Bombyx mori: one gene and its partner. The protein of the gene in region 2 interacts with the protein of the main gene of each other region in a pairwise test. Links are inferred from orthologs where the notes say so. Each region holds a gene or a part of one and is shown on either strand. Other genes may lie near its edges.

Region 1 (7,716 bases), on a different chromosome or scaffold from region 2:
CCATGTGTACTGAATTTGGAGGTTGGGACGTTGGTTATGTCGATGGATTCCGTTAACCACTTTAAAACCAGGTGGGTCGTGAATTAATTTATTCATCCAAGTACAATAAAAATATTAAATTGGTACCTGAAATGGAGCATTCAGTCTGTTCTTAACATCTAATCTATAATTCAAATATGCAGTCTTATCAGAAGTATTTGTATTCTTCAAACGCAATATTTCATAAATTCTCCTTGCTTGTTTTTTGTTTATTTTAAATTTATTTCGCGCCTGGATCGCCATTTCAGCTGAGAACCTTCAAGAAACATTACATAATTGGATTATTTCGATATGCAAAAGAAGTTTACATTGATCAATTTTAGAATCAATTAATACAACATTACAAATAGAAAAAGCAACACATACCCTAAGTATAAGGCAGCTGGCTGAAATGCCGGTAATCTTTCACAGTTCTTAGCATCAACATAATCTCTAACCCTTTGAAAGTCAGGTGAGGGGTCTTCAACTGTGAGATCTATCACTTCAGGTATTATTATAAAGTGAGAGTATACGGCCTAAAAATACAGATTGAAAATACTAGTAACATTTTATTGGTTAAATTTTCCATTTAAGCAATCAAAAATTTAACTCAACTAACTGAATAAGGTAAACGTAATCTACATAATATGTATGGACCAGGGTGATTAACTGATCACATAATAATGTCATATGCATTATTCAACATTCAATTTGTAGGTGACTATAATCACAACATAGTGTCATATCTTTTATGAAGCAAAATTGGAAGAAGGCTGAGCTTTTCTATGTTTTACAAAAACGATTATCGTTGTTCATGAATTATAAATATCACTTTCTATCGCAATAGGTGAGTAATTTTCATAATGGTATTACCAACAGTAGTAATCAATCTATAGTCAGTACCTGTAACATTTGTGCACAAATTCCGAGTTTTCTGAAGGGCGGTAATGTAAGAACTTGTGAGATTCGTGGACGTTGATGGTTTGGATAGGCATAATATCTGTATACAGTTGCATAGGCAGCTGTAGCGTATCGAACACTGCCTTCACTCGTTTGATATTTCTCAAAACTGGAACATAAAAACCTGTTCTGAATGATCTCATTTTAATAACTATAATACTGTGCAGGCGCGGGGCAACTGAAGCCGCCATCGTTCGAAACATGTCTTTTCGGATCCCTTGTATAGACACTTAGTGCTTTTAGGCTTTTCAAGCACCAGTCACCGTTCTCGTCGAACTCCTCAATTACGAGGAAGAGTTCGACAACCGAACTAATCGATGTACACAACCCACTAAGTTGGTGACCGCACCAGTGCACTCCGTGGGTGACGGCAATGCGCTTTTGCGATCATCATCATCGTCCGCGTCCGGTCAGGAGTCCTCGGGGTGGCTGCGTGCCTATTTACAATGTTGACCGCAATTGCCTCTTCTATCTCTCTCGGATTCCGTCCGCAGGGCTCACAATCTCAGGCGAATGTACAGGAGAGTTCTTTAGTGGATGGGTTTGGTACTACTACTTAACAAGAGGCCTGCTCACTTTGGATATCCAAGGAGACTCGACGCAGGCCCAAAAATAAAAAAAGCCCAGAACAGAACTCTCTATCACTTGTTTATTACAGCAACAAATACCATGAAACATATTTTTATAAGTGAGAAAATAAGGTTATCCTTGTCGTGAGCCTCATTCTTCAGGATGGATTAAATAAACCATGTAAGTTGGTGCTAAAAATATAGGTCTAGTATTTTTAATTGCTTCTAAGAGAATTAAATAAATTTTCTTTAGTAATTATAGATTTCTTAATATTCTTTCCCCAACCTAATCATTCATAATCTGACACACTATTTCAACTACACATGGACTGTTGGATGAATTCACAGAGCTCAAACTGGAAGGATTTGCTAATACTAGCTCTAGCAAAATCAGTAGTTTGCAGAATCTAGCGTCAAAACAGAATCGCGACCGACTGAGAAGATCCAGCGAGACACTCAGTAGGTTATGTCTATTGTTTAAGGTGTTAGTTGAACTCTTTCAACTTGTTCAAACTGAATGGTGACTGGTGCTTGCTGTTATTTATATTTATAATTTTATTTATACTAATGGTAATAAAAGTAACAACCTATTGAATTTTCGGCAGCTTACATTTCTAGCACCAGACATATCTTCTAGTTTTAATAATACAGACTAAAGCATCTAATACTATAAATACACATGCAATAACAACTTACACTGTGAAGAATGTCCACTGATCATCATCAACATCTATGAATGATGCTGCATCTACATACCACAGGAGAAATGTTTGTAAACGTTGATGGTATTCTAGAAAACCTTGAGTTGAAGTCTCACAATAATATACTTCAAATGATCTGCTCTCTCCATCAACTGTAAATTCAGATTCAATTTGAAAAATTAAATTTTAAATCAGAAAATATGAATATTTTAATAGTTTACACAATGACCATTAGATCAAATTGATAAATTTTATGTCGTTTAACAAATGAACTTGGGTATTATTTTCATTTAATATTTTTAATTACAGAGGTTACATTTTATGCACAGCTTGTTATGACAATTGAGACCCTTGACTTATATACAAAATATATGTATCAAACTGTATCCAATAGTAAATTATTATAATATATTAATGTGCAAAGAGGCTTCTGGGGTCCTATAATACAGTTCACAAGGAACTGCAGGAGCCCGAGTTACAGAAAAAAATGCAACTAAAACACTGTAACATATAGTATATGTATCTGTGGCTTAAGTTCTGTTGATATACTAATGGTAGCTTATCATCTACCCATCTGACTTGTCTAGAGAATTCCACAAATCAAGGACATATTTTACATTACTATACATTTAAAAGCAACTACTACACAAATGATGGTTGTTTAAGGTTTTTAATTTAATCTCATTATTCAGAGTTCACTTTTACATGTACAGGTACCATACCGAAATCCAGAAATAGTTGTGCATGATATCATCATTCTTATCCATAGTATTTATGGAATGTTAGTTTAATATGTGAGACCAGAATAAAAATATTTCTGGGAAACTTAATTTTATGAATATTTATTTTCTGTTTTAATAATAAAAACCCAGGAAATGAAAAAAAAAACTTACAAGGGGTTACATTGAATGCATGCAGCATTTTTCCATGTGGTGTGAATGACTCATCTTTCTTTAATTGTGACACAAAGTGATCCAAATTAGTGATATACCCTGGTGCTATAACTTTAGTCAGAGCACCCTCAACATCATCTGCTTTCATTCCTTCTGACTTACTTGGTTCGATCTATTAATTATAATTATAGTACAGAAAAAAATTGTGTTATTTGTACACGAAAAAGTACTAAATCTTTAGATTTTTTTAAAGCTCTTCAATAAATAGAATACAATTTTTTTTTTAAAGTTGGTCGTAAATCAAATGGCTATGAATAGATATTTGGTTTATATCTATACATATAAATAAAATTAGTGTCTGTTTGTAGTATCGAAATAACTGCTTTTTATTACATGCATATCTAATAAACCATTGTATTGTGCATCTACCATGTATATACGGTACATACACCAAAATAACATTTTTTACAATTTTTGTCGGTCTTTCTGTTTGTTTGTTCCGGCTAATCTCTGGAACGGCTGGACCGATTTTGATGAGACTCCACTAATAGGTAGCTGATGATTTAAGGAGTAACGTAGGCTACTTTTTTAGACTAGATTCGCCCCGCGGCCTCACCCGCGGTACAACAATAATCGCATGTAACATCGCGGGACTCTGCTATCAATAATAAAATTTAATGATTCCGAAGCGAAGCGAGGGTGGGTCGCTAGTTTCAAATAAAATTTAAAAATAATATAGAAATAAATAATAATACCTTATCAGTGTAATCAATTCCTAGATATGTTTGAAGACTTCCTGCACTGTAATATAATTTAATGTGTAGATCTGTATATCCAAATATATTCTCATTCTCTCCAAATACCTGGTGACACATGTCGGGACCAAAGCTTGTCTCTTCATTTTCGAGATCATCTACCGACCTCACTGAAAAAAATAAAGATCACAACCTTTATCTACATCTGCATATAAATTTAAATAGCAATGGAAACCGGGATCGTTGGGACTTTTTTTGGGAATCAATAAAACCTATTGTAATGTCTACAATGTGTTCAAATACAATTATAGATTTCATTTTCTTTTCAAAAATTAACTGTTATCCAGACAGCGTGCTTACCTAGTTTGAATTCCAAAACGTCGTTCCCATCAACAACTAAGTGGCACAAAGCATCAGTCATTTTGTAAAATTAACAACGGATTTTGCCGGAGCAATTCCCGCGTAAATTTTATTGTCAATATTTTTTTAATATTGCAAAAATGGAGGTGTGTAATTTACATTTCAACACCGATAAAAAGCAAATTTTGCTTTACACTTCTCACTGCAGAAAATCTTCATGAATAGTAGGAAGCAAATTTTTTTAGCTTCTATTCCGTTTCCTTGGATATGTTTACTTTAGAATGGTTTTCCTAAATATTCTCCAAAATCTATCTGCCTGACTGAATGAAATTTGAACTAGCAGAGTGAATAATGTGATCATAGATAATACACACAACAAACTTGGAAACTTCAAAGCTATAGCTTTTTTTTTAAGGGATTTTATGACCTGGTAACTAAGACCTTTAAGTCGTGTCCTATTTTAATTTATATTCTTATTTTTATGAAAAATGATAATATGGAGATAAATGAAATGAAATGAAGATGATTAATTTGAGACATTAATCAACTGTGATGAAATTAAATGAAATGAGATGATATGTAATGAAATATAATCTCAGTAAAATGGTGGTCCTTTACTGAGATTTTTTCAGTGGACTTTTTAGAGGATCCCGAGAACTTACGTCCAGCGGATTTGTTTCATTTTCCCACATTTGCGCACTTTCACAGATACACAGAACAGTCAATAAACCATCGTTATTACACATTTAAAGCTGAAGAAACACTAAATAGACAAAATAAAACAAATCACACATCTTCACTCCTCGCGTTCCCGCCAAAAAGTCCTCAAAGCTATAGCCAGTTTAAAAACACCATAGCTTAAAGTACCTAGTGTTTCGTTTTTCCAACTGAAAACGCTTACGTATCAAGCATCATACAGCTTAATCTTTTAAATAAATATTATGTTTTATGAAAAATGTTATGGAACGAAAGAAATGAAGTTGTTTAATAAGATACATTAATAAATTGGGATGAAACCGAGATGATATGGATTGAAATATAATCTCATTAGAATTTCCAGTGGACTTTTTGGAGAAGAAACATTACATTAACAAAGTAAAATATAATAAAGTAATTCTTCTTTCCTTTTGCGGGCCTACTGGAAGAGATTTCAACATGAAATAAGTAGTGCCCTTGTACTCTGTATCCTTATTGTGGTGTTTTTTCTAACAGCTGTGCGTACAAAATATATTAAATAAATAAATAAAACAATACATAAACTTGTCTCCTCGTGTTCCCGCCAAAATAATTCTTAATCCTACAAATTAATTAAGAAGGAAAAAAGAACTTCAACACGACATTGACACACTTGACGGTGGTGGCAATTTTGTCTTCTTTGCTCTTTGAGTTAATAGCAATAGTTTGGAGTATAAACTTTAATAAAACTAATAAAAACATTTGTTGAAAGCAAACATTTTTAATATTATGGCAACAAAAGAAAAGTATAGAGGTTTGAAATAGGTAACCGGCCGTCAAACATTCATTCGCAAACCTAGCGGCTGTGCAAATGGGTTCGCATACTCAATTTGCGAACCCGTTTGCGCTTCCTCCTACACTTGTTTACGATTGTCTCATGAATTTCTCTTCATTTTTAATTCGTCAATAGAACATTGAAAAGAAAAATATTTTTGAATTCTTTCCCAGACATCATTAACAGCCATGCTGTTTTTATGGGATTTCTTTTGATGAAGATACGCTACACAGTATACGTCACGAACTATGAAAATGGCGATACGTTCGTTACCTTCGCAATCGTCGGCGCAACTGGACAAGCGAATGTGTGGGAGACTACGCGAAGGCTCGAGGTTCGCGCGCTTTGATGTCTGGTAAAAAAGCGACACAGCTTGGAAAACCACGAATGCAGCGAAAACTTTGCATAATCATTCGCAAATGTCGTCCTACACTTGCGGGTTTGCGTATTCGTGCGCATGTGAGTGACCTGTGTTAGATCTTAAGATCTTAAGATGTGTTGTTTCACCGCATACATAGTGATCGAAAGCGTCCGCATCGAGATTGGGGTGATCGGATTGTGATAGCTCGGTCTTGTACCAGATGAGTGTTGGAGCTTCAATGGTCACTTAAAAATATAATAAGCATTTGCTACTTTGTTGTTTCTTAAGATCCCTAAATAGTATTGGTCTTGGTAAAATTCATTTTGTGAAAAGAAAACTATGTACATTGTGGTCTTTGCAAAATGAATTTGTTTCATCTGTGTAAAATGTATTTGTCATTCATTCATGTGACGTCATTATGACCTGGTTGGGTTAGGTTTGCTTGGAAATTTTTGTTATAAACCTTGTATTTTGTTAATAATAATTTGTTGTGCTGCCTATTTTACATTAGTAAATTTAATAGCTCCCAAAATAGAGGCCTTTTTGGTGCCAACAAGTGTTTTTTCAACGACGTTCTCTGGCGAAAATGAATCGCCATGAAGGTGGGTAATGATAATCAAAATTTGGTAGATGCTTTTGTGACTGAATTTTATTGCGAAATTTAAGAACAGACATGATAAAATAGTTGAACACATAGTTACTAAGCGGAAAAAATATATTTTACTGAAGAACAAAGAACAGTTATGTCGTCATTGTATTTATTGACAAATTTCAGGAGTCAGCTGTGATTCTTGTTTGAAAAATAACTTTAGAGGACGACGATACAAATGTTTGATTTGCATCGATTACGACTTGTGCGCTACTTGCTACGAGTCCGGCGCTACCACGAATCAACACACTACCGAACACCCCATGCAGTGCATTCTTTCTAGAAGTGATTTTGGTAAGACAAACCATCTTGTATTTAACATAATACGTCCCTTAACAAAACAGAATATATTATACCCAGCTCCAAATAAAACAGTACTTATATAGTGATCTCAAAATAAATAGTAAATACTGTGATGTGATTTCTATATTATAAAGACTAAAAATTGTAAAATGATATGCATGACCTAAAATAAATTAAATATAAGATTTCTAGAATTCAGCAAAGCTTTTTTTTTTTTTTTTTTCTTTTCTTTCTGGCTTTTGTTACTTAGATTAAAGTACAATTTTGCCAACGTCGGGTAGTGGAGGTATCAACATAATTATGCTAGGACATTTACATAACATTTACAGGCATGAACTGAAAATAGAGTTACCTATTTAGTTTTACAATTTTTGTATTTAACAGTTAGTAGGAACTACAATTTTATATTATTAGTGTCTATGAAAGATGCAAGCGAGTAGACTACCTTTTTACTGGGGAAAGTTAATAGGAAGTTCATGTTGATGGGGAAGGGGATTATGTTTTTTAATAAAGTATATAGGGAATCACAATTATTGTTAAGAATGCAGTTGAAGAATATATGATCCACAGTACCTTCCTCGGATCCACAGTCGCATATTGCTGTATTTCTTACTTTGAATTTGAACAGCTGGACAGG
Region 2 (4,019 bases):
CAACTTGGTTTGACGTACATATGCTGGAGGACCTCCAGAAATGAGAAAATATTGAATAGAAACAACAAAGAGGACGGACAAAAAAAGATAATTAGTGCGAAAGTGATATCGGTGCCTACAGACATTAAAACGTGAATATCGCGACTCATCGAGTGGGCTCTTACACTCTTCAGCCTAGAAATAAATAGAAACAGAACCAGCGCTATGGCCTAGCATTGTGCGTTCTCATCAGTAAATAAGCATTGCCGATCGCATTACGCTTATAATATATTATCCCTGTTTTCCAATTACAGCACAAGAGCGTATTCTGCAGCATAATGCTCAACGTTGAATATTCCAACTACAGCAACGCTTCGCACAATCGAGCACTCTCAAAAGTACTGCTCTCGCGTGACACTCGCAATCACTCGCAATCGATATAGACTCAGTGACAGAAAATTGACAAGTGTTTTTTCTTTAGGTTGGCATTGTTCGAAATTTTATATAAATTATCGTTGAGCATTATGCCGCATAATGCGCTCTTGTGCTGTAATTGGAAAACAGGGTATAATATGTGATTGCCATAGTCCGACTAAGGCCTAAGCCTCTAATCGCATACGTGACCTTCGAGAAAAGATCAAATAGATGGTGCTTTTCTTAACTGAAATAAAACAACCAATTACGATACTACTAGACAGGATTGTAATGATTATTATTTAAAAAAATATTCAGTTAAGAAAGGTATTTATCGACTATATATCTCCTTCCTGATTTTCACTTTTAGAAAGATTCATTTCAAATACATACAGAAATAATAGATAAAAATTATTCTTATTTATATTATGTACGCTTTTTGCATTACAAAGATTTAAAATGAACATCTACATAATTTGTAAGCTTATAGACACCATTGATACAACATTAGCCTAGTTATACAAAAACGTAGCCGTCTAGCCCAGTTTTACATATTTCGAGATCAAGTCCATGTCTTTTTAAGTAGAAAGTGAAATGATATTGTCATATCACTTTTACCTGAAAATCATATTTTTATAAAATCAATTTTAACATTCACAAAGTAATAGGAATATACGAAGACTAATAGTTTAAGCAGCTATGATAGAAAGAAGAAAAAGAAGGCTAGAAGAACATAGCTAGTGAACAATTCCAAATTCATTTAATATTTCATCTGACGATGCTAATCTATGGCTGCATCATGAGAATGGCGAGGTCGAATTTACTTAGATTGGTGATCTGTGGCATAGATAATACACTTAATTTTTGAGATCTGTGGTCGAAACAGGAAACAGAAACAGCAACGCTAAGAATTTTGTTTGGCGCCTTTACCGGGCCGGCCTGAGTTATCAGATAATTACGTTGAAGTTCCATAAAAATAAATTCTGTTACATACAAAATGGGAGATAAAGGAGACGGAGGTAAATGATCAAGTATTGGAAGTGGTTATGTTTCTTTGTGTTTTTTAATCTGCCGACTCTGGAATGACAGCTAACAGTTTTTGGTTATCACACTTCGCCTATCAGTAATGTTTTAAAAATTGTAGAAACCTTCGATGACGCGGTTGAAGAGAGAGTAATCAACGAAGAATATAAAATATGGAAGAAAAATACACCATTTCTGTACGACTTGGTGATGACCCATGCACTGGAGTGGCCCTCGCTCACTGCCCAGTGGCTCCCCGATGTCACCAGGCCAGACGGAAAGGATTATTCCGTACACAGGTAAATTTAAATGCATATGGGGATATTAATACTTGAAACAAACTCTTTTAACAAACTTAACGTTTTTACAACTAAAATGCAATATTTAAATCTATAAAAATTCTATTTAATAATTTACTTCATACTATATCAATATAAATAAATTTAGACCATTATCATTGTAATAAGTAATTACTATGAATAGGCCGAAATGTTACATTTACATATTTTTGTGCAGACTTATCTTAGGAACACACACATCTGATGAACAGAATCACTTGCTGATCGCCAGTGTGCAACTACCTAATGAAGATGCACAATTTGATGCCAGCCATTATGATAATGATAAAGGAGGTTTGTGATGAGCATGACCTAAATTTCTAACTTAGACTTTAACTAGGTATTAGCACATAAAAAGCGAATTGAAAAAAATCAAACTGACATAAATTGAAATTGAAGGTAGTTGGAACTTTTGTTACGTTCCACAGAATTAACACAGGAGATTCATTCTCAATTTATATGTCGTGAGTTATTTAAAAACTATAAAGCACTTATGCATATTTTTATATATTTTTTAAGTTTTTAATGAACACTATGTGTGTCTTCTAGGTTGTTGAGGGACCAATACAGCGTGTATTTTCGAAAAAAATTGGCACCCGCCTTTCATATTTCATTAATGTAGTACCATTTATTTATCTGAATACACAGAGTTCAACAAAGACTTTGACTTGTGAACTGGATGTGAGGCATATTGACAGATAATTATTACCATCTTGCAATTTTTCTGTCATGAAATAGCCATTTACTTAAAGCTCACTTCATGTCCCAAGATCAGTGGTGGTAATCACATTGTGATGTCAGTAAGTTCTAATAACACACCACAGCTTGGGCCGTAAACTACTCCAAGTTTGTGCATTAATAAGGGCATATAAAACATTAAACAAAAGTCATCCTGTTTTACTACTTATCTAGAGGGCTATATGCTTGTTCACCCTGTTCAATAATTCAAGTTATAATAAACAATGATGAATTCAATAGCTTTTACTCCTGTGAAAAAAGAGAATTAAAAAAAATATAACAATTATTTATGAAAAGTGCAGCTAAAGTATATATATATGTTTTAAATTTGTGAATTGGAGATACCTTATGGCAAATGCTAATTTAAAGGCAAATATAATCCATAAACATTATTTATTTCATTTTCTTCTCATGCTTATAGAATTAGGATATAGTTCACCATATAGGACCATATGTGAATTCTGACTATGGTTAATTGCGACATTTACTAATTGTAAAATAAAATAAAACCGTTGAATATGGTAGGATGTGCCAGACCAGACACACATTACACTTTTAACAACATAGAAAAATAAATACTATTTGGCCATATCCATAATTTTATTCATTGTATTCTTTATTACTTCAGAATTTGGAGGCTTTGGTTCTGTATCAGGCAAGATTGATATAGAAATTAAGATCAACCATGAAGGTGAAGTGAACAGGGCCCGCTACATGCCCCAGAATCCTTGCGTCATCGCAACGAAGACGCCGTCGTCTGATGTACTTGTCTTTGATTATACAAAGCACCCCTCCAAACCTGAGCCTTCTGGAGAGTGCCATCCTGATCTAAGGTAAACACTGAATCCGCGATAATAAACAAACAACACAAAACTATTCAGCTCATTTATACTGTAGCTGTCAGTTTTGTACTCATCACCACTTGAAATGCTTACCAGAGTTTTTCTGTCTTTAAATGCTTCTCATGATTAACATCACAAAGTGGACCATTAATTCATTTGCTATTTAGTGCAATAAAAAACAAAATTGTTGAAGCCTTGACATTACAATTTAAACATCAATATCAAGCATATTAGATCGGTTCACAAGCTCTTTTTTATATATTTGTCTTTTTCTTAGGTACCTTGAAAAAAGTAATCTATTAATGTCTATTCAATATCATTTTATATTACAGATTGCGTGGTCATCAAAAAGAAGGTTATGGCTTGTCATGGAATCCAAACCTTAATGGATATCTTTTATCAGCCAGGTTTGTAGCCTAATATTTTATATAAAACTAGCGACCTGCCCTCACTTCGCTTCGGAAACTGTAATTTATTATTGATTTCTTTACTATTTAATGGATGTTATTATACATATAAACCTTCTTCTTCAATCACTCTATTTATTAAAAAAAAACCGCATCAAAATTCGTTGCGTAGTTTTAAATATTTAAGCATATATAGGGACAGAGATAGCGACTTTGGTTTATACTATGTAGTGATTATACATTTTGAATTCCAGTCTAAGTCTGAACATGTAATAGTT

What was found.
Region 1: the proteins of chromatin assembly factor 1 p55 subunit (region 2) and histone acetyltransferase type B catalytic subunit interact in a two-hybrid assay, tested with the Caenorhabditis elegans proteins (4 studies listed by BioGRID). The link is inferred for Bombyx mori from reciprocal best matches to the Caenorhabditis elegans genes lin-53 and hat-1.

What each region holds. Positions count from the first base shown.
Region 1 is NC_085113.1:6,756,423-6,764,138, reverse strand, and holds the start of histone acetyltransferase type B catalytic subunit, read right to left. Parts: upstream 4,636-7,716; 5' UTR 4,318-4,635; coding exon 4,257-4,317; intron 4,067-4,256; coding exon 3,897-4,066; intron 3,314-3,896; coding exon 3,142-3,313; intron 2,401-3,141; coding exon 2,244-2,400; intron 1,088-2,243; coding exon 922-1,087; intron 555-921; coding exon 406-554; intron 296-405; coding exon 127-295; intron 1-126. Other genes in the region: E3 ubiquitin-protein ligase KCMF1, read left to right, coding at 6,714-6,729, 6,903-7,070.
Region 2 is NC_085109.1:4,078,361-4,082,379, forward strand, and holds the start of chromatin assembly factor 1 p55 subunit, read left to right. Parts: upstream 1-1,219; 5' UTR 1,220-1,390; coding exon 1,391-1,412; intron 1,413-1,537; coding exon 1,538-1,715; intron 1,716-1,932; coding exon 1,933-2,048; intron 2,049-3,120; coding exon 3,121-3,325; intron 3,326-3,666; coding exon 3,667-3,741; intron 3,742-4,019. UniProt on the Caenorhabditis elegans protein: Core histone-binding subunit that may target chromatin assembly factors, chromatin remodeling factors and histone deacetylases to their histone substrates in a manner that is regulated by nucleosomal DNA.